Linked DNA regions of Caenorhabditis elegans. The protein of the gene in region 3 interacts with the protein of the main gene of each other region in a pairwise test. Each region holds a gene or a part of one and is shown on either strand. Other genes may lie near its edges. The genes, in order: nhr-239, hlh-33, nhr-66 and zip-2.

Evidence for each region.
Region 1: the proteins of nhr-66 (region 3) and nhr-239 interact in a two-hybrid assay, tested with the Caenorhabditis elegans proteins (one large-scale study listed by BioGRID).
Region 2: the proteins of nhr-66 (region 3) and hlh-33 interact in a two-hybrid assay, tested with the Caenorhabditis elegans proteins (one large-scale study listed by BioGRID).
Region 4: the proteins of nhr-66 (region 3) and zip-2 interact in a two-hybrid assay, tested with the Caenorhabditis elegans proteins (one large-scale study listed by BioGRID).

The regions. Positions count from the first base shown.
Region 1 is NC_003281.10:2,560,098-2,567,097, reverse strand, and holds nhr-239 (Nuclear receptor domain-containing protein), read right to left. Parts: upstream 5,389-7,000; coding exon 5,385-5,388; intron 4,886-5,384; coding exon 4,745-4,885; intron 4,698-4,744; coding exon 4,602-4,697; intron 4,180-4,601; exon of another isoform or gene 4,049-4,179; coding exon of another isoform or gene 3,278-4,048; intron 3,230-3,277; coding exon of another isoform or gene 3,140-3,229; exon of another isoform or gene 3,115-3,139; intron 1,744-3,114; coding exon 1,666-1,743; intron 1,115-1,665; coding exon 951-1,114; intron 905-950; coding exon 823-904; intron 766-822; coding exon 542-765; 3' UTR 503-541; downstream 1-502. Other genes in the region: Y54F10AM.11 (BTB domain-containing protein), read left to right, coding at 3,140-3,229, 3,278-4,048; feh-1 (Protein Fe65 homolog), read right to left, coding at 6,694-6,774.
Region 2 is NC_003281.10:1,853,732-1,860,106, reverse strand, and holds hlh-33 (BHLH domain-containing protein), read right to left. Parts: upstream 4,716-6,375; 5' UTR 4,715-4,715; coding exon 4,465-4,714; intron 4,057-4,464; coding exon 3,926-4,056; intron 2,681-3,925; coding exon 2,528-2,680; intron 1,856-2,527; coding exon 1,667-1,855; intron 1,538-1,666; coding exon 1,335-1,537; intron 976-1,334; coding exon 840-975; intron 700-839; coding exon 538-699; 3' UTR 504-537; downstream 1-503. Other genes in the region: ddp-1 (Mitochondrial import inner membrane translocase subunit Tim8), read right to left, coding at 41-214.
Region 3 is NC_003282.8:8,233,578-8,238,369, forward strand, and holds the start of nhr-66 (Nuclear hormone receptor family member nhr-66), read right to left. Parts: upstream 3,006-4,792; 5' UTR 3,001-3,005; coding exon 2,932-3,000; intron 2,627-2,931; coding exon 2,458-2,626; intron 2,333-2,457; coding exon 2,248-2,332; intron 1,438-2,247; exon of another isoform or gene 1-1,437. UniProt on the Caenorhabditis elegans protein: Transcription factor. Binds to regulatory elements and regulates transcription of target genes, including the potassium channel accessory subunit mps-2. Negatively regulates transcription of mps-2, thereby modulating age-dependent memory decline.
Region 4 is NC_003281.10:832,557-836,330, reverse strand, and holds zip-2 (Transcription factor zip-2), read right to left. Parts: upstream 2,244-3,774; 5' UTR 2,157-2,243; intron 2,027-2,156; 5' UTR 1,872-2,026; coding exon 1,863-1,871; intron 1,811-1,862; coding exon 1,495-1,810; intron 1,439-1,494; coding exon 1,118-1,438; intron 1,004-1,117; coding exon 723-1,003; 3' UTR 520-722; downstream 1-519. Other genes in the region: dos-3 (Delta and OSM-11-like), read left to right, coding at 105-516. UniProt on the Caenorhabditis elegans protein: Transcription factor that binds to the promoter and the enhancer regions of target genes. May act together with the bZIP transcription factor, cebp-2. Involved in responding to mitochondrial damage.

The DNA.
Region 1 (7,000 bases), on a different chromosome or scaffold from region 3:
TGAAAATTTCCGGCAAATCGGCAAATTGCCATGAATCGAAAATTTCCGGCAAATCGGCCAACCTGCAAATTGCCGGAATTGAAAACTTCCGGCAAACCGGTAAATTGCTGAAATTGAAAATTTCAGACAAATCGGCAAACCGGCAAATTGCCGGAATTGAAAATTTCCGGCAAATCGACAAATTGCCGGAATTAAGATTTCTCGCAAATCGGCAAACCGGCAAATTGCCGAACTTTAAATTTCCGGCAAATCGGCAAATTGCCGGAATTGAAAATTTCCGACAAACATTCCAACCGACAACTTGTCTGAATTGAAAATTTCAGACAAATCGGCAAACCGGCAAATTGCCGGAACTGAAAATTTCCGGCAAACCGGCACATCGGCAAATTGCCGGAAATGAAAATTTCCGGCAAATTGGCAAATTGCAGAAATTGAAAATTTCCGGCAAACCGGTAAATTGCCGGAATTAAGTTTTCCGGCAAATCGGCAAATTGCAAACCGGTAAATTCATTAAAACATTTATTCATCCATCAATTGAAAATCAAAACAATTCAACATTATCTGATTCAAAGACTTCAGTAATAAGACTGCTCATGGAGCTTCGGAGCAAACTTGACATCTCCCATGGTCCGTTTTCATAGAGCCACGTAACTGTATTGATTAGTTGTGTAGCTGTCTCGATAGAGTCATTTGTGAAGGAGTACCGCCATAGACAACATTTATAAAAGTTTTCCAAAGGTGCAGCGAATTTCAGAAGGGGACTGGCTGGAAAATTAATATCTAGCTAGATCTAGCATAAATAAAAGGGGATCTGAAACTTACTGGATTGGGAGAGAAGTATGCAGATAGTCAGCCGTAGTTGTTCTGGGTCACAATGCACTTTTTGCGGGATAGGTTTTGGCGGCTTAAATGGGTTACGGTAATATTCGCTGTGAGACCCAAAAACTTACTGGAAACCTGCTTAGTACTGCCTCATCTCCACTGGCCAATATCAATAGGGCAAATATGATTTGGCAGTTTTCTTCAACAACTTCTCGACGTTCCTGTTGGGACATGAAGTTTAGCAATAAGCATTTTGATGTAAGGATTACGGATTTCGAGAATATCGAGTCATCTGGAAATGGAAAAAAAAACCTGAGAATAAGAGAAGAAATCTACAACTTATCCACCAACTTTAGCAATTTTAGAAATGCCAAGCGTAGAAGTTGCTAAATTTGATTGAAAAAAGTTGGATAAAGTTGTCCAAAGTATTACGTGAACACTAAATTCAGAGAATGCGTATTGCACAACATATTTGACGCGCAAAATATCTCGTAGCGAAAACTACAGTATCTCTTTTAATTACTTTCGAAATGAATTTATTTTCCAAAAGTGACAGCGATATTCCATTTTTCTTCGATTTTTCGTATTATTTTGTTCATTTTTTTGCTTACTATTAATTTTTAATATTTTATCGATCAAAAATGATTTTCGTAAATCGACACAAGCTTTACAGTAGTCATTTAAAGAGTTACTGTAGTTTTCGCTATGAGATATTTTGCGCGTCAAATATGTTGCACAATACGCATTCTCAGAATTTTGTAATAGTCAAACTTAGAAGAAAGAAGGCTATGCAAGGCTAAGTTGGTGTATAAGTTTTGATGAATTACCCGAGTATAGACTTACATTTGAAAGAGATGGGGTTATTGGTATGTTTCAGCTGCAGGCATCGAAGCCTCCGAGGTCCTCGTTCAGTTTGGACAGCTGAATTGAACTTGATATATCAGTTAAGCAAAAAGAAAACACTATTTAAAAACGTAAATTGACAACACATTCTGTTCAATTTTTAAATTAATATTACCCAGGGGCGTTGGTGCGAAGAGTCTCAATTCTGTAGATATATGTAAGGTTCTTTTCATTACAGCTTCGTACACTCAAAATAATAAAACTGCGTGGCGTGTACTGCAGAAAACCTCATATTTAGGCCCCGCCTTTTTCTCGTCCACTCACGGAGAAAAGGCAAAAATTTGGGGACCAACCAATATCAGGCCGCCGACATCCTACGGGTTCCGCGCGCCGCTTTGTTTAACTCGCAGCGGGCGTCGATTTGACCTACGTAGGTCAAACGAAAATTGCGCAGAATACGCAAACACCGGCGGGAATTGCGCTTCATTGCACTTCCAGAATTTTCTTCTTTTTTTCCATTTTCTTTGATTTGTCATCAATTCTCTCCGTTTTTTGCCCATTTTTCTCCGATTTTTGGCCATTTTTTTTCAATGTAAAACTCGATTTTTCTTCATTTTTTGCCGATTTTCTGCCTATTTTTCTTGGATTTTCAAAGTAAAACTCGATTTTTCAGCACCGCCAGCAGTTCTAACGAGACAATGGCTGGAATGGACTTCTCGATGCCAAAGGAGCTCGTGTTCGACGCAATCGTGGTGGTGGAGGAGCGGAAGTTCCACGTGGGGAAGCAGGTTTGTGAAAACTTTGTTTAACTCGCAGCGGGCGGAGACAGCACCACGCCCACAGCGAGTTAAACATAGCGGCGCGCGGAACCCGTAGGATGTCGGCGGCCTGATATTGGTTGGTCCCCAAATTTTTGCCTTTTCTCCGTGAGTGGACGAGAAAAAGGCGGGGCCTAAATATGAGGTTTTCTGCAGTACACGCCACGCAGTTTTATTATTTTGAGTGTATACATTAACCAAAAAATCGATAAATTTACGGAAAAAAAATTCTCCGATTTTCTCAATTTTTTTTTTGCAAATTTATTGATTTTTCTGGAAATCAATTGGTTTTCCAGTAATTTTTCGATTTTTCTAAAAATTTATCGGTTTCCCGAAATTTATCGGGTTTTCCGGTGGTGTCAGAGTGCCCCTTTTCGATTTGACCTACGTAGGTCAAACGAAAATTGCGCAGAATACGCAAACACCGGCGGGAATTGCGCTTCATTGCACTTCCAGAATTTTCTTCTTTTTTTCCATTTTCTTTGATTTGTCATCAATTCTCTCCGTTTTTTGCCCATTTTTCTCCGATTTTTGGCCATTTTTTTTCAATGTAAAACTCGATTTTTCTTCATTTTTTGCCGATTTTCTGCCTATTTTTCTTGGATTTTCAAAGTAAAACTCGATTTTTCAGCACCGCCAGCAGTTCTAACGAGACAATGGCTGGAATGGACTTCTCGATGCCAAAGGAGCTCGTGTTCGACGCAATCGTGGTGGTGGAGGAGCGGAAGTTCCACGTGGGGAAGCAGGTTTGTGAAAACTACTAAAATTTTTGTGTAATAATTCACTATTTTCAGTATCTCGCCACACATTCGCGGGTCTTCCAGTCTCTGTTCGCCACCCCGGGAGATCCAGAGATCACAATTCAGGACGTCTCTTCCGAGGATTTCCTCAAATTCCTCGAATTCATGTACCACAACACGGATCAAATCACAGCACAGAATGTGGAGTCGCTTCTGACGGTTTCTGCACGGTTTGGCGTGGATTTTGTGATGGCTCGCTGCGAAAATTGGCTCTCACTCGATGAGTCAATGGATTTCTCGCTTCGTCTCCAGCTCGCCGAGACGTACAAATTCTGGAATCTCTTTGACAAACTTCTGGAGACGTTGCAAAGCGAAGCCGACTGTCAGCAAGTGATGAAAATGCGATTCCCACCGAAGTTGGCCAGTCATTCGATGATGGCGTTGTGTCGCCGAGCTGCTGCTCTCGCCAAGGAAGCTGCAAAGCCAGAAGGAGCCGGAGCACAAATCACCGAGGAGGAGCTCGACCGGACTATGAAGATGCTCGCTCCAGCAGAAGATGACCATTCTCAGATGGAGCTCACAGTTCCCGACGACAACGCTTCCGGAAGCTCTGGAACTCTCGGAGATTCTGAGGACACTGGTGCTGAGCTCGTGGAGCCGGAACTCTCAAGGATCCTTCAGAGGACGTTCGTGGTGCCGAGAAGATCGCGGAAGCTGTCTGTGCCAGAGCCGGAGGAGTACGAGGAGGACGGCTTCTCGGAAACTCTGGAGCTGTTCCAGGAGGAGGCACGCAGCTGCCACGACGATACAATCACGCTGGAGTGATGGATAAGAAGATAATTTTCATGTCAAATAATTTCGCCATATTTTTTATTAGTATATTTAAATTTTCATCGTGTACATATTAGACTATTTCAAGTTATTTTTGTGAATTCATAAATCGGGTCGCAACTTGATATTATTTTTGACTCGGAAATGTTTGAAACTCTAGGAAAGGGAGAGAGAGAGAGAAGAGAGACTTGAGCCAAAGCCTAATCCTACGCTTGAGCCAAAGACTGAGCCGAAGCCTAATCCTACGCCTAAGACTAATTCAAAGCCTAATCATAAGCCTGAGCCTAAGCATAACCTTATGCCCAAGCCAAGTCCTAAACCTAAGCCAGAGACTGAGCCTAAGCCTAAGCCCACGAATAAGCCTAGTACTATTCCTGATTCAAAGTCTAATCCTACTCCTAGGCCTACACCTAAGCCTAAGCCTAGGCCTCAGTCTAAGACTAAGCCTAAGACTAAGCCCAAGTCTAAGCCTAGGCCCATGTCTAATCCTAAGCCTATGCCTGGGCCCACACCTAGGCCTACACCTAGGCCTGAGCCTATTACTCACCGAGTCTATTCATCTTCAACCTTGTGCATTTTGCAAGCCGACACGCCGGGCACCAATTCCTTCGGCCTTTATCCACGACGCACTTCCAATTTCCCGCTGAAATATAATTTCAGATAATATAAATTTCCGGCCTGAAAGCTAACCAATACAAGTATAGATAATATTCTTGCGTACACTTCTCTTGAAAAAGCAACTGCATCCATCACATGCCCATACTCCATAGTGTCTACCGTAAGACTTGTCTCCACAAATCTCACAGTTCACGGCTGCCGTGTCTTTTCGGCCTGAAAACGATATTTGATCTACAGAAATTGCGCCAATTTGAGCGCGCGCTGTGAAATTCGTGTGACCTCACATTTTCGGAAAATTTTTGGCAATTGCCGTTTTTCCGGCAATTTTCCGATTTGCTGGAAATTTTCAATTCCGGCAATTTGTCGATTTGCCATTTTTCCGGCAAATTCGGCAAATCAATTTGCCGGTTTGCCGATTTGCCGGAAATTTTAATTTCCGGCAATTTGCCGATTTGCCATTAATTTTCAATTCCGGCAATTTGCCGATTTGCCGGTTTGCCGGAAAAAATCGTTTGCCGCTTGCGGAAATTCCATTAATGTTTTTGTGAAAGAAACAAATTCAAACTGTAGTTAACGAGTTTTTCGTAAAAAACTAAAAAATTCGAAGAACTGCTGCAAACGCGCCCCAACGAACTATTGGCCTACGTAGCGCGGCCAATTTTTATTCAAATTTTGCAGAATAATTACAAAAACCGAGAAAATTCTCACTTACCCATCGAAAAATTAGCAAAATCACCGGAAACCGAAAAATAAAAGGCATATCTCCGTATTGCAGCTCGCCAATTTATACCACCTGAGAATCACTAATTGGAAAGGTATTCGGTGTCAGATGGTAGTAGTAGTACTAGTTGAAATATGAGAATAGTCCCCCACCTTTCCCAAAATCACAAGGTTAGAAGAAGCTTACTTCATCATAAGTCGGGGCGCATTAATTATTTATTGAATTTTTGAGCAACCGACACTCTGATCGAATAGATTTTCTATGGAAAATCGGAAAGAATTTGCTATTTTGAAGCTGAAATTGGCTGGGGCAAAAAAGGGCAAAAACAGGCAAAAAATTATGAAAAAAATTTAGAAAAAAAATTTGCAAAAAGAAATTCAAATTAATTTTTTTAAAATTTTCTATTGAAAACTTTAAATATCTCACTGAACAACTATTAGTTTGCTTACCAGCCTGTCTACCTACCTACCTAAATGCCTATCTGCCTGCATGCCTACATACATATCGGCGTTCCTACCTACCTATCAGTATGACCCCTGCCTGCCAGCCTGGTTACCTACCTACATACCTATCGGCCTACCTGCCTACCTTAATACCTATCTGCCTGCATGCCTGTGTACCAGCTTGGTTACCTACCTACATACCTATCGGCCATCCTACCTACCTAAATGCCTATAGGCGTTCCTGCCCACCTAAACACCTATCTGCCTGTATGCCTGCCTACCAGCCTGGCTGCCTATCTACATACCTACCGGCCTACCTACCTAACTGAATACCTGTCTTCTGCCTTCATGCCTGTCTACCAATTTGGCTACCTACCTACATACCTATCGGCCTTCCTATCTGCATGCCTGCATACCAGCCTGGTTACCTACCTACATACCTATTGGTGTACCTACATACCTACATGGCTATCCGCCTGCCTACCTGCTCACTTACCTGCCTGCCTGCCTGCCTAGCTTCCTGCCAAACAATTTTCGCGACCTATCGATGCACCATGTTCATTCCACCAAACTTGTTATAAAACTCCATTTTTATCAGAAAAACCTTTTTTCAAAGAAATCAAATTCTACAAAACAAAAAAAAATTGTCACAGATGTTGAAAAAGCTACACAGAAAGAGGGATTGTACAAGTAAAAATGTATCGGTGGATTGAAGAATATTGCCAAGTGAGGGGCCGGGGTAAACTTTTGGTTTGAAAGCATATTTGGGATGAGCAGAACAGAGTATGAGAGAAAAAAATATGAGAAAAATCCATCAAAAATACAGAAAATTAAAGAACCGAAGAAAAATGAAGAATTCAAAGTCGTTGTGCCGACCTAGAAGGTACCATACGTGACGTCACCGAACCAAAAGCGTCGCGAAATGTTTCAGTCCATCCCTGTAATTATTTCAAGTTAGGTTTTAAGGATTTTAAGGCTTTCAGCAGATTATTAAGAGTTAATTGGATTTTTTGGTAGTATGTGCACATTAATTTCGGCTCACAACAAAAGTTATGGTGCATCGATCAAAAAAAATTTTTTTTTCGAATTTAAAATTTTGTTCAATATCCTACAGTAAACTACAGTACCCCTACAGTACCCATACAGTTCCCTACAGTATCCCTA
Region 2 (6,375 bases), on a different chromosome or scaffold from region 3:
TAAAATTGCAGAAAATTGCCAAATTTTCCCAAATTTTTACCTGAATACAGGTCTGAGTCTTGCCGTCCATCTTGCTTGGCGGACGGTAGTCGGCGAAGCACACATCCCAGCAGCGACCGGTGAGCGTGTGCACTTGTTCGGTGAATTTTTGACGCTGCGTCTCCGCCTGCAGTTGCTGGAGGAATCGATTGAGTTGAGGGTCGGCCGAGTCCATTTCCTGTGAGAAAAACTATAGATTTGATGGGAATTTTGAAAAAAATTGCAAAAAAATCGCTGAAAAATGATGAAAACCCAACGAAAATGATGAAAAAATAAAATAAATTAATTTCATCGCAGAGTGCGCAAGCAACAAGAGAAATGCGCCAGCAACCTCTCCTTGCGCATTCACAGTTTTCGGCGGTTTTTCAAATGATAATTAACTTCGAAATGATTTTTCCGGAAATTTCCCAGTATATTTTGCAGTATTTTAAACAAATTCCCGTCGATAATAATCAAATTTTGTAAATAAATATTTATTTTATTCATTTAAACCCATAACTATTGATTTTGAGCACCAAGTGGCCCTTGCGGGAGCATATATTGGGGGAAATTCAAAAACGGGGGGTTTTGAACGAATTGCATCAGGTTTTTCAGCTCCCCTTCTTTCGCTGAAATTCGTTTTTCCAGCAGAAGTCGCTCACTTTGTAGTCGGAGCCAAATCTGGAAAATTGATAGTAGCTGTAGTTGAAAAGTCGATAATTTGAATTAAAACCGTGTTGCAAGTGCGCTCTATTGATAAAAACTAGTTTTTAGCGATGATTTATTGATTTTACCATTAAAAATCGATAATTTTCACATACATCTTGATAACCAGGTGATAACATGTCAAATGGGTTCATTCCAAGTGTCGGAATCGGTTGAATTAGTGACGTGGACGGATGGATTACTGTAGTTGGGCTCAAAGTGCTTCTCGGAGTTGGAATAGTGCTAGTTTGGCTGAAAATTTACATAGTTTTGCAAGTTTTTTCAGAAAAATTAGAAAATTTTTTTTTTTTGAAAAAATCAATAAAATCTTACATGTTAAGAATTTTATTAACATTTTTAACTTTCGCACGCTTAGAGCTTCGGAAAAACTCCGAAATTATGTCACTGACACAGCTGAAACCAGTGCTACAGTACCCCACGTGACGGGACCCAACTTTTGAATAAATTTGTGAAAATTTGAACCCGGGCATGATGGGGGTCATTTGAAAGGTCTTGTTGAGCTAAATTTGAAATTTTCAGTTTTAAGGGTCTCGCATGGATTTTGGAGTAGATTACTGTAGGTTTTAACGTTTTTTTTTGTTAGAAAAAACCTCTTTTTCCCAATTTTCGCCGATTTTTGTGAATTTCCATCCGACTTCTCATCATCCAACGGATAACTTTCCACTATAACATTCATCGATCGTAGTCTCTTCCGTTTTGTGGGTACTGTAGGTCGGCGGGTTACTGTAGGTTTCACATTGGGTACTGTAGACGAGGTGGAGGAGCCCGGCGAGAGGAAGGAGCTTGGGGAGCTCTGGAATTCAACAAATAGTGTTAAATAATTTTTTAGAAAAAAAAGTTCCGAAAAAAAAAATTTCAATTTTTTTTTTCTCAAAAAGTTTGAAATTTCCCGCCAAACTATTAATTCTTATTAATAACTTACCACTTTCACACAATTATCCTCTTTTCGCCTCAAAAGTGCCGCCAAAATCGGGCTTTTCACCTCCAAACTCGACGGCGGGGGCGGTGTCTTCTGAAGGGGCGAAGCTAAAATGGGCGGAGCCTTGGGTACAGTAACCGGGAGAGCTGGAAGCTCATCAGGCACACAGACTAAAACTGTTTCCGTGGGTTTCTGGAAAAATTTTGATTTTTAAAAATTTCTAGGAATTTTTGAAATTTTGGAAAAAAAAATTTTTTCAATTTTTTAACAACTAATTTTTTTGGTTAAAATCACGATTTTGAGCCAAAACTCGTACATTTTCAAATTAAGCACGTCCAGAGCTTCAAAATAAGGCCCATCATGCCTATATTCCGTGAATGATTAAAATTTCGGGTCCCGCCGCGAAAACTTTCTGGGTTACTGTAGTTTGGTTGTTTTTACTGGTTTTACCAGGTTTTGCAGGTTTTCTGGGTTGCTGAGAGTAAAATTGTGATTCTCAGCTAAAAAAAAATTGACAAAATAAGTTTTTTTTGGTAAAAAATTTTGTTTAAAAAAATTTTTTTTCACAAATTTTCGAAAATCTGTAACTTTCTTAGTTTTCACTATTTTTTCTTAATTTTTTTCTTCAAAGTTAGCTCAGTGATCACACTTTTTTGAAAAAAATTGAAAAAGTTAGTTTCATTCAAAACTACAGTAACCCTGCCAGTTTTCGTGGCGGGACCCGGAAAATTCCCCCAAAATTGCGGGAACCTAGGCATGATGGGTGTCATTCAAAAGCTATTTACACGCCAAATTCAAATAAATTAGTTTTAAAGCTAAATTTTTCGAATTGTTCGAATTGAAAAAAACATTTTAATCCCAAACCTCCGCCGATTCCTTTATTCTGCACGTCATTGACTTCGCCATGAAGCTTTTGAGTTGGAGCTCATTGAGCATTTCTTTGGAAGTGAGAAATGACAGTTTGGACGTTGAATCGTAGTCCAGAAAACATCGGATATCTTTTCCAATCATACGTTTCTGAAAAAAAAAATTTCATTAAAAAATTTTTTTTTCTTTTTTAAATATCTCAAAAACTAAAACAGCTATTAAAAAGTTGTTAACTAAAAAAGTGTGTAGAATTTCAAAATGAACATTTTGTTAGTTGAAAACTTTTTGATAACCATGAAATGGGCGGAGTTACGGAAGGCAGCAGCTACGCCCATTTAATGGTTACTAAAAAGTTATCAACTAGCGAAAAATTCAAATCTTTTGCAAAAATTTTGACAAAAATTGTTAGTTTACAACTTATTTCTAGAATTTCTAACTTTAAAAAAATTTAGTTTAACAAAAAAAAAAAAATTTTTCAGAAAAAGTCCAAAAAAAAAAATTTTTTTTGAAACTTTTTTCGAAAACTTTCTAAATTTTTATACTATCTAAAATGTTATAAAACATTTTCCAACCGAAAAAATCCCAATGATTCACCAAATCCCCCCCCCCCCACCCCCGGTCCACCACCAGTTCACCTTGAAACAAGTCAGCTGACACACAGTCCGAAAAAATCGAATTTTTTTTGGGAAAAAGTGACCTTGATAATATTTCCCCGAAAATATGACGACATTTTGTTTACAAGGAACATTTAATTGGGGACGCCTGTATGGGAAAAAATTTGGAAAATTAAAAATTATAAAAAGATGAAATCCCACAAAAAAAATTTTGGGATTTTTTTTTTTCAAAAAAATAAACTCAAATATCTTCAAATCTAGAAAAGCTAGAAAAAAATTGTCAACTGAAAAAATTTGCAGATTTTTTTTCATGGTGAAGCTTTTGTCGGTTGAAAATTTTTTGATAGCCAATAAATGGGCGGAGTTACTGAAGCTTAAAGGTTGCTACCATTTAAGGGTTAGCAAAAAGTTGTCAACTAAAAAAGTGTGCATTTGATTGTCACGCCCGTCTGGGACAAAATTTGGAAAATTTTACAAAATTAAATTCCAAAAAAAATGTTTTGAGAATTTTTTTTCCCATTTTTTCTAATAAGCCTATGCCTAAGCCCAAGCCTAAGCCTAGGCCTAATCCTAAACCTAAGCCTAAGCCTACGCTTAAGCCTAAGCCTAAGCCTAAGCCTGAGCCTAAGCCTAATCCCAAAAAAATGTTTGAAGCCTAAGCCTAAGCCTACGCCTAAGCCTACACCTAAGCCTAACAATTATTTTCAGAGGCCTGTAACTCTGCCCATTTAATGGCTTTTTGAATTTTTTTTTAAATCGAAAAAAAATCAATAAAACAAACTTTTTCAATATCAAAAACTGCCTGATGGTCTCCCTTAATATCCACGACAATAAAATTGTTCAGAAAAACCATAAAACAGTTGGTCAGGCTGAAAATATCCTGGACGAGCGGGTCGGAGAGCAGCGGTGGTTCTGGAAAATGGAGGAAATTGAAATTGACTGAAAATTCCGAAAATTTCGAGATTTTCAGCTTAATGGCTTTCAAATTTGAGTTTAGCTCAATGATTGCTTTAAAATGACACCCAACATGCCTTGGTTTGAAGGTAATTTGAAATTTTGGGTCCCGCCACGAAACGGATCAGGGTTACTGTAATAGGTTGAATTTATATTTTTCTCGGGAGGAAATAGAGTTGTTTTACCGAGTTTTAGAGTAAAAAACAAAGAAAAAAGCTTTGAAAATCGAAAATTTAGGAAAAAAATTTGCAAAAAAAAAAGAAAAAATTTTCGAAATTTTTTTTCAAATTTTTTTCCAAATTTTTTCAAAATTAAAAAAAAATTCCAAATTAGAATATTATTACTAATTTGAATCTGTAGACTCACTATAATCACTATTCCGAATAATATCAACAGTACTCCCAATGATAAAGCATTTGTCCAGCTGACGAGGCTTCTGATCCACTCTTCGCAGCTTATGAGCCCGAATATCTTCGGGCAAAAGTGTCGACATTTCACAAATCACTTCATTCATCTCTTCCCTTCGTCGTTTTTCATGCTTACTTCGTGTTTCTCGCTTTTGAATAGTTTCTTTCCGAGTTCGCGGCTTTTTGCAGCTCTGCGGGGAGTCGGACATTCTGAAAAATGTACTATTAAATTTTAAAAGCTTATATCTCGGTTAATATTAAAGGTAGGGAGAAATGTTAAACAACAAAGTTATAGAGAAAAACATGATGAACATTTTGTCAGTTTACAACCTTTGGCTCAATATTAACCGAGTTATGGGCTGTCAAAGTTAGGAAAGGTCGATGCAACATGTCTAACTCTAACTTTGACGGCTAGTATCTCTGTTAATTTTGGAGATATGGAAAAGTGCTCAACTACAAAGTTATAGAGAAGTTCATAATGAACATTTTATTAGTTATCGATTTTTTGATAAAAACAATGACAACTGAGATATAAGCTGTCCAAGTTTTTGATCGATGCACCATGTCCAGTTCAACCTTTGAAAGCATATATCTGTTGAGGATATCAATAAATTTATATTAATAAAAGTATATACATAACCAAATTGTAATAAAAATTAAATTTTCTGATGAAAAGACATTTTTTTGAACTTTTTAAATTTTTTTCAAGGATTAAAAAAAAATTTCAAAAAAGTTTAAAAAAAAATTTTGGTGAAAATTCAAATTTTCTAACTTGACAAATATGTACTTTTCATTGTTTTTTTAAAAAAATTTTATTGTAAAAAATGTGTTATTGCCCTAAAGTTTCAGAAAACCCATTTAAATTTTAAATTTTTGAAAAATTTACTGAAAAATGAAATTTCTTCGGTAAAACTGTAGTATCTCAAAGAATAATTGTGCAAATTGCTTGACATTTTGTCAGAATTAGCGTTAAATATATTTTTATTTTTCTTTCAGAAAATATCAAATTTTTGATTTAAACTTTTGGAAAATGCAAAAAAAAAAAATTTAAAAATTAAAAAAAAAAATTTTCAACATTTTTATTTTCTCAATTAAAACCTAAATTTCTCAAAAACTACCAAATGAATTTTGGTGAAATTTTACCAAAATTTGCGTTAAAACTTTATCTTTCAGGCAATTTACTTTAAAATTTGACAGTTCATTTGAGTCCAAAGTTATAAGACCTCAAAGTAAGCCTACGTACAAAAATTATTTACCGAGTTGTATAAAACTTTTGTCAAAAAAAAAAATTTAGAAAAAATCGGAAAAGTGATCAGATGGCAAAAATGAATGGTCTCCGCCGTCTTCATCGCCCCCAACACTCGAAATTGCCGCATTTCTGCGTCTCTTTGATTGTGTGTACTCTCTCGTGTGCCTCGGAATAAGTTGTGTGTGTGGGGGCAGCTGGTTAGGGGAGCGTTTTTTGTATGGCAGAAAGGGACTTTCAAGGTCACTTTCTTCATTTTTCTCCCTCTACGGCTTTCATTTCTGGTTACCCCGGCGGGGAAAACAATATTTTGTAAAAAAAAAATTTTTTTTTTGGAAAATTTTTTTCCGAAAAATCAATTTTTTTTTTGGAAAACCAACTTCAAAAACGAAATCCTCGCATAATTTCCCACTATTCACATTTTTTGCCGAGTCTCTAGCTCAACTTTTGATTTTCTCTGAGTACGGTAGCGCCAAAAGTACGCAAACACCGCCGCAGCTCCTACGACAAAATGCACAGCTTCTCAGGATTTGGTAGCTGAGCTTTGGAAATTGGGTTTCCGGAGTGAAAAGAGACGTAGAATTCATATTATTGATCGAAAATTTACAGTTTTGAATGAAAACC
Region 3 (4,792 bases):
ATTAGTTTGTAGGTCATTTCTACGAAAAAATACAAACGGTTGGCCACCTCGTGAACCCGATCTTTGTACAAGAAGTTAAAACAGTCGAAAGTCGATTTTTGCGTATGCACAAACGGTTGTTTATAGTATAAACACAAACTGATAACTCTAAGTCACCATTTTATCATGACTATTCGCTGAAATTGATCGTTTTGATCTAACGATCCGAATGATTACACGATGAACACCATTCAAAATAAAACTGGCGAAATTAATTTCAACTGCTTTGAAATGTGTAATTGTAGGCTTTCAGCAGATTTTAACAATCTAATGTAGATCACTTCAATATTCTAACACACTAGTCTCATTCAGCTTTTCCACTGAAGATCAACGAGATTTATAAGATATTCACATGACAGTTTCTGGACAATAGAACAAGTGATAACGTCTTTATTCTAGATGCCCGTAGTTTGTAGTCTTTAGAGTTTGTCAAATAGATGTTGAACATTTAATAGGGCGAAATGGGGATCATCGGAACAATAATCGAAAGCAAACGGCTGTCAACTTGAATAGAAATATTTTGGCAATAAGCCAGGTTCTAAAGTACGACAAAAGCCTGCTAGTTCCATTTTGGAATCAACACGATCCTGATCTATGCATTTCTTTTTGAAAAAATCTTTATATAAACATCGAAATGATGATAGAAAATGTTGTAGGCCAACACCGATAACACATGAGTTTGTGGTATTTTGCAAGCAGGCAGGCGCACGAAAGAAAAACCGCAAAAAGCGATGATAAACCGGAAAGTTTCCGGTGATGGGGTATTGAGTTTGCTATAGCACACAGTTTTCTGTTTTCCCGAAACACAAACACGTGGCGCTTTTGGATGTTGAAGTGTGCGCTAGCGAAAGAAAAGAAAGGAGAAATACGTAAAATGATACATTGAGCCTTTGAACTTTCTCGTTGTGTGTGGTTCTCTGTGGTTTTTTTCCTTGCAGAAAAAGAGACGAGACTCATCAACGCAAAAGTTCTCATGCAGTCTGGGAATTTCAAATTATGCAGTTAAGCACAAGATGGGTCAGAGGAGGAAAGCTTTAGTAAAGAGAAAGTCGACGAGTTGGTAATGAGACGAGAGTTTCCACCTGTTTCGGATATACGGAAGAGGCAAAGAAGTAATAACGGAGAGCCGGCTAGCTTGGAAGGAATTATAAACGGAGCCGATCTACCAAGGCGGGTTATTTCTGACCCCTTCAATTTTCCTCCTATTATCGGTTTGTTTTGAAGCGCATCTGCTGTCATTGAGCGCTGCAAAGCTGTTTCGATGGTCAGGCGGAACGGACAATTGGGGATGGATGAAGGACTTCGGGCTTTAAACGATGGACGGAAGACCTAACAATTTGGTGTTCGACTTTTTATATAATAGCTTGATTAAGTTGCTATATAAATCCGTTAAAACTTGAATATAATGTTGCACCACTTGTTCCCGTTGATCTTATAATTGAAAAATCACATCGACTAATTTAGAAATCATAGAAAAGTGAGTTGCAAATTGTAAAATAGAGCTGCTTCAGGTGCACATATAAACTTCAGTCTAGTCGAGAAAAGATGATTACAATGAAGCTTTCTTACAACAAGTATCTCTGGAACGTTGCAGCACAGAAATCCCTTCATTTCTACACATTTCAACGACAGGAGCATGCCAGTCAGCTGTACTCTGCACCTTTCTCCCACACTCTCCACTACTCATGTGTCATGCAACATACAACGGATCTTTGTTTCAATGCTCTTTTACTTGCATTTCCGTTGTCGCGCATGCACATTTATATATATATATGAGAAGTCTGCTCCCAATGACAAGGGCAACCAACTAAAATTATGAAGGATTATTTGACTTTGTTCTTTGATTTTGAGTTTCTTTATTCTAAACTTATGAATTAGCAATGTACTCTATGTCTCTTCTGTATGTAACATCACATTTTTTAAGAAAATAGCGCTGCTCAGCTTGATTAGATTTATCAGACACTCCAGCGTTGTCAAGCAGAAATCAGACAGATGAAAAGTACAAAGTCACAGAGCAGGAGGAAAGATATGGATCAAAGCACAAGACTTTGAGCGAAGATAATAATGAAAGATCAAAATTCAAATTTAATTCGGAAGGTTCAACTTTTTGATTATTTCTTTTTGAATTCCAATTGCAATTTTTTTTCCATACAAAAAACTGCCTATTTTCGGCAAAATTTTGAATTTTCAAAAGAAAAAAAAACTCACGGTAATAAGTTGAATCCGTCCAGTCTAGCGAACTGTAGTAGAAGTTCTGGAGGCAACGATGTCAACGAACCAAGCCCAGTGAGTCCTTAAAACGAGCATGATTGATTAATATTTCAGAGAAAACAACAATTGTTTACGCGAACTACGACTCAATTTCTCCCGCGCATTTCTCCCCCATTTTTCTTGATTGACAATAACAATCTACCGTACCGATTTGTGGAGTCATTGTCGCTGTGAGAATTGGCGTCTGGGATTTCCCGGAGGCCAACGAACCGATGATCGGTGTCGAATTCTGGATGTCAAGACATGATGTTGATGTTGTTGCGGGGGTTGAGAGAATTCCTCGAGCGATATTGATCAAGTCGACTTGAGATTTTAACTGAAAATAAAATATTTTATTGAATTAATTATTAAATTTCATGAATTCTTCAAAGAAACAAGTTTTTCGACTAAAAAAAATACAATTTGTGCGCGCAGGGAACCACAAAAAAGAAACAATTTGTTGAAGAAAATGGTTCAAAGGAAGGCTTGGTCTCGCAACGATTTACCTGCGTTGTGCCAGAGACTACGATACAATTTAAAAAATCAATTTTTTTATTGTAAGCATAAAATTTTATAGAATTCTATTTAATATTAATAGGAAATTTGATATTAAACTTTATAAAATTCAATTTTTATGCAAACCTGTGTCATTCCTTGCCACACCGACGATGCTGATGTTGTCGTCGCTGTGGGCTCATTGATTGGCGGCATTCCATAGAAGATGTCTGAAAGAAATCTGAAAATAGTTGACGTTTCTAATTTTATTAATTCGAAACAAAATTGCGATCAGAATAATGAATAAATTGAGCTCAACAGAGAGCAGGCGAGCACAAGTCGAGTTCTCAAAAAAGAGGCGGGCTGAAGTTTGCTCGCGAGAGCTTTGTAACAAGAGCAAGGTAACCGGAAGGCCATCGAGGAACGAGGAAAATTAGAATACTGAACTGACAAAAGGACCTTGAAAATTGAAAGTATGAGAAAATGGGCGGGGCCGCCGGCAGGAGACACGTGAAAGATCAGCAGAAAAAGGACGGATTGAACGAGAAATCAAATGCGCCAATCTAATGGATTCGCTTTTATTCTTTATCTGTATATATGTATGAGATGTTGTGACGACGACACCATCGGGACAAAAATAATCTTAGAAAACAAAAATTTTCAGCAATTTTTCGCTAATAGTAAATTTTAAAAGGTATTTTTTTAAGAACGTAACATGTTTTTGAAGATGTTGAAATAAATAAATTGATAAAAATTGTAGAAACGTTTTTCACGAAAAATTATCTCATTTCACGAAAGCTTACAGGCTTTTCGAAATGCTTTTCGCTGGAAAAAATTTGCTACCGAAGAATACAGCAAGTGCGCTCTGGTGAAATCCATTTGTGCGCGAAGTTTGAAATTATTTCTACAGTAAGATGAAATCAGAGAAATCACAGTTGTCGAACATTTGTAATACACGATCGTCGCATTATTTGTGGTTTATGGAGCCTCAAAAGAGAATTCAACAGTAAAAATGTGCATTATCGCCACAAATGGAAAACGCGCCTCGATATACGATATTCTGCAGCTAATCACACAAAAATCGGGTGGATATTATACGCAGTCACGAGGGATGTGCAGCATACCGTCCGTTCTGATGCTCAGCAGTGTGCATACAAAAGGGGCTCGAGATGGGATATGTGCACAGCTTCTCGCATAATAACTTTAAAACAGACTACATTTTGGCTATTGTTAGAGATTTTAGAGAAGAACAAAAAATATGAAAATTCGAGAAATCAGGCATTGTGGGTAAATAATTATAACTATAGTCGAAATGAAAAAATGTTTTTATTTTCTGTTATGCTTCAGCTGTTCATCGTTTGATTTTTCTCATAAGACTTTCTCTCATAAGAAGTTGAAAAATTCAAATGTTAGAAATACATTCGTGTCTAGATATTTGTAGACATGTCGCGTTGTTAGGCTCACTGAACACGTGCAAATTTAGCGAATATTATGAAAATTTTCGTAGTGTAGCAGAAAACATTTAAAAATCAAAATTTTCCGAGAAGCACATTAAAAAAGAATACAAATGTGTTCTTTCAAGTATTTGACAGCTTTCGTTTAGGGATTCATTCAAGTCAGCAGCAAGATTTCGGACTTCATGCCTACCTGCCTAGAAGTCATGGATTCAATCCATAAAACAGTGCGTAAATGGCAGGTGCACTTTTTCTGGTATAACTAAATAAACATGAATTGAAATGTTACTGTAATTTGCTTGCTGATATTTGAAGACGTTCATTTAAATGTACTTGAAAGCATTATCAATTGGGAAATAGTTTAAAAAAAAATTTTTTTGCAGTTTTTGCAACCAAAAGTGTAGATGCTCGTTTATCTTAATGACGCGAGTTTGAGTTTGAGAGTTGAGTCTCGCTCGAAATCCGGAAAATAAAAATAAAAAATCAATTATCGCCTTCATTTTGATTATTGGTTTCAATTTAAAACATAGGAAGTAGTTATCTTTGGTCCAAGC
Region 4 (3,774 bases), on a different chromosome or scaffold from region 3:
ATATGATTAGGTTCTTAAACTCACAGGTTAGACTCTATAAATTGCTTTAAGAAATAATGAAAATGTTATATTTATTTCTAACCAAGTCGCAAATCTTCTTTCAGAGATCAAGTTCTAAAAGATGCCGATCAATCAGCTCCCAATCTTCCACGCGTGAAAAAAACTACAGGTGGTGCAGCAGTTCCAGTATTTTCGGACAGTGTGTTCTCCAATGCATTAGATCAATACAACTCTTTAACCGACTCTCGAGGAATCCTGCATCGCCCTCGTAGTAGATCACCATTCACTAAACCAGGGCTCTGGGAGCCGAATCCAGATGACCCACATAATCGCGATCATGCTAACAAATACTATTATCACCCGGAATCCGTGAACGTGGATTGGCTCCAGGGCCAAATCGCTTATGGTGCACATTGGGCCGTGCCAGCTGCTGGAGTTGGAGGTACTGATGGGTTTAGTGCTATTCACTTTCCCTCTATTGGAACTTTCCTTAATATTCCTGATGATTATGATTAATTATTTCTATTTTTCTACTTTATTTTGATTAATGAAAAGGAATATAAATACTATTTGCTATTGAGATGAGATGAGATAAAATGAGGTTGGTGAATAAGGGATAAGGGATAAGTAATGAGGAAAAAAACGAGAACAAAATAAAATTAAATTTGAATTTATGTACACACACAATAAAATGAGAAAAAAACGCGATCTGATTAATATATTTATCGCTTTACAAACATCATGACCAATCGCTTGTAGTCCTCGACTTGAGTCTCCAAGGTTAAAACCATTGCTTGAAGTTGAACTTTTCGCTTCTCTAGACGCTCTCTTTCCTCCTTTGATTCGCGAATTTTGGCTTGGCGCTTTTGACGAGATTTTTGGGATGCTAGATTGTTCTTATCCCGTTTATGACGGTAGTCCGATGACGAATCGGACGATACCGATGAAGTTTTGCGCCCACGTGTTATTGTCGTTTCAACTGTTGAGGAGGAAGATGATTGAACTGAAATGGTTTTTAATGTTTAAATTGAACAAAGAGCTGAGTTAAAGAATATATAAATGGGTTCAGACGATGACGTGGATTTTCCTAATTAGTGTGATACTGTCTTAAGCTTACTTTTATTATTGTGCACAAGCTGTGGAAAGAACTCGTCAACTGGATCAATGTCCGACGCTGGAGGAGAAATGTGTGAAGCGTTAGAAGGAGAGGCAATGGAATCATCATGAATGTAGGCGTCAAGAGATGTGATATCACAGCTCATGAGAGAATCCAGATCAAGAAAATCTGCATCTGGAGATGCAGCCGAGGAACTATTGGCGGCTGGTGGGAAGGCTTCTGGAACCGGTGGGAAATCGAATGCATAGTCGAAGGATGTGTACTCTGGTACATCAAATTCAAAGCTCCCGTGGGAAGCTTGTGGCGTGCTCATGTTGGGCTCTGAAAATTTTATTATTCAAATTATGATTCAAATTCGCTCAAATTCGCCAACTAACCGCTCAAATAACGGTCCGCTTTCGGTAGGGAACGTCGTGTCATTGTAGTCGTGTAGGTCGTTTGCTCGTCGAGAACCACAATTAAATCGCAATTTGGTTGATGCGTGAACTGTAGTGGAGATTGCTCGGCAGAATTGATCTGGTGAAGCTGAGGAACTGTAGTCGTCAGGCAATCCGGCAGGTTTCTGCAAGAGTTGAGGATCCGACGATGGTTGTGGTCGGCGTGGACTGCATCCTGGAGCGGTGAGTGGGCCAACGGCGGAAGTGGCGGCGACGGAGGCCAAGCCGAAAACCCGACGGCTAGTGGAGCCGATAGCTGAACAATTATTTGTAAAAATAAAATATTCGTCCAATTATGAAAAACTAACCGGCTCCATACTTGGCCTCGTCCATGAAGCAACACTGTTGACTGAACATGTTAAAATCGGTGGTTGTCTTTGCGTGATACATTGTGGAGAAAAGAAATCTTCGGGAAGGCCGTCGAAATCTAGTGACAAACGAGCTAGCTTCTAGCTAGGTGGGGAAAACTTTTCTGAAATATATTAATTATCGATTTTATTCGTTTTAATTTGAATTGTATTGATTTTTTATATTGGTGATCGCCACGTCATCGTCATAAGATAATGATTTAAAAAGGTAATTATTATTTGTATATGACAAACCTGGAGAAGGCGATGAAAGCGAACTGATGGACGTTTTGATTGCTCCGCGGACGGTGGCGGTCGTGGGACCTTGAAACTGGTCCCTTGCTGAAAAATACCACCGTTTAGGCAAAAGCATGTCAAAACAATCGATTCCCGTAAGCAAAATAGAAAAAAAAAACAAAAAGTCACCAATGGACAATTTGTCAAAACGAAAGAATGAGGCAGAGAAAACCCAAAAACCACGTTAGAGCGGACGCTCCACCCACTATTGCACAACATTTGGCAAGATTTCACATGATGTCACCCAGTCGGAGACAGACGACGGGGGTCGACAAGACACTGTGTGTCGCAAGAGGATTAGGGATGGCAGAGTGTGTTTGAATAGGACAGTGAGCGTGCGCCGACCGACACAGCCGACCAACAATGTGAACGAAGTGTGGAGAGGAATATGTGTTGATTCAGACCACAACCAAAAGATCAAGGAACTGAAACACACATTCTGACCCATCGTTGGGTTACTCAGATGGTGATCATCGGTACAAAAGTATAAATAGTATGAAAGTATTCTGATTCACATTGACAAAATTCATGAAGCATCTCTAATTGAACAAAAACTGGATTGCAGGAGGTCACAATTGATGATGATTGATTTCCAATTAGATATGGAAAATTGTTAGCTTCTCAAAAATACCTGAAGTACATGTAAAAAATTGTTCCCGTACCGTCCCAGAGAAATGTATGAAAAATAACTATTATTGTGATTCAAACAAAAATTAATCAAGCATTTATATCACAACCGACGTCACTACTTATCAAGTACGACATAATTTATTCAAATACATTGTGAATTTTTATATACAGACAAGATATGGTGTGAACTCATTACTTGTGCGTTCTATGAGCAAATTTATTAACATTTGCTTATTTTCGATATTTGAATTTAACACATAGGTATAATAACAACTTCATAGAACATATACATTCCATTTAAACAATCGCACATTGGACTTTTGCTTCAATTCTTCATAACGTCATTTGATAAGAATTGAAGATTGATAAGCGGAGTTTTCTGAGTAATCTTCGCTTTTTTCCAATGTTTACCCTGTTCAATAAAATGTATTTCTGACTAACCTTTTTGATCACACATTGCATTGACAGGACGTCGAAAGGGCGACTTGTTAGAAAATCATATGATCCATTTGAAGACTGAGAATACAAAATGTGAAAGATTTTCTTCAAATGAGTTCAGTTTATATAGTCCACTCTTGATGCAATGTTGTGCAACAGTATGTCACAAGATGTACCTAGTCACAAACTACTGTAGTTTCATAATTTTCAAAGCGGAGTACTCTCAACGTAGGAACAGTTTTTTTCGTTTATATTTTAAAGTTAATGAATCATTTATCCAAAAGGCTGCTTGCCAAAATTAATCAACATTCGACAAAGCTCCTGGTTGATTCAATTATAAAAAATAAATATTCAATTTTACATTTCTTCATTAATTTTTCTTCGATTTCCGTTTGTATGACTTTATGTTATTGAACACAAATAAGCGATTGCAATTGTTGCCAAGCAACCGGAAAAACCAGAAAAACAAAGACGTAAATTTGTAGTCAGAGCAAAATATGAAAATGAA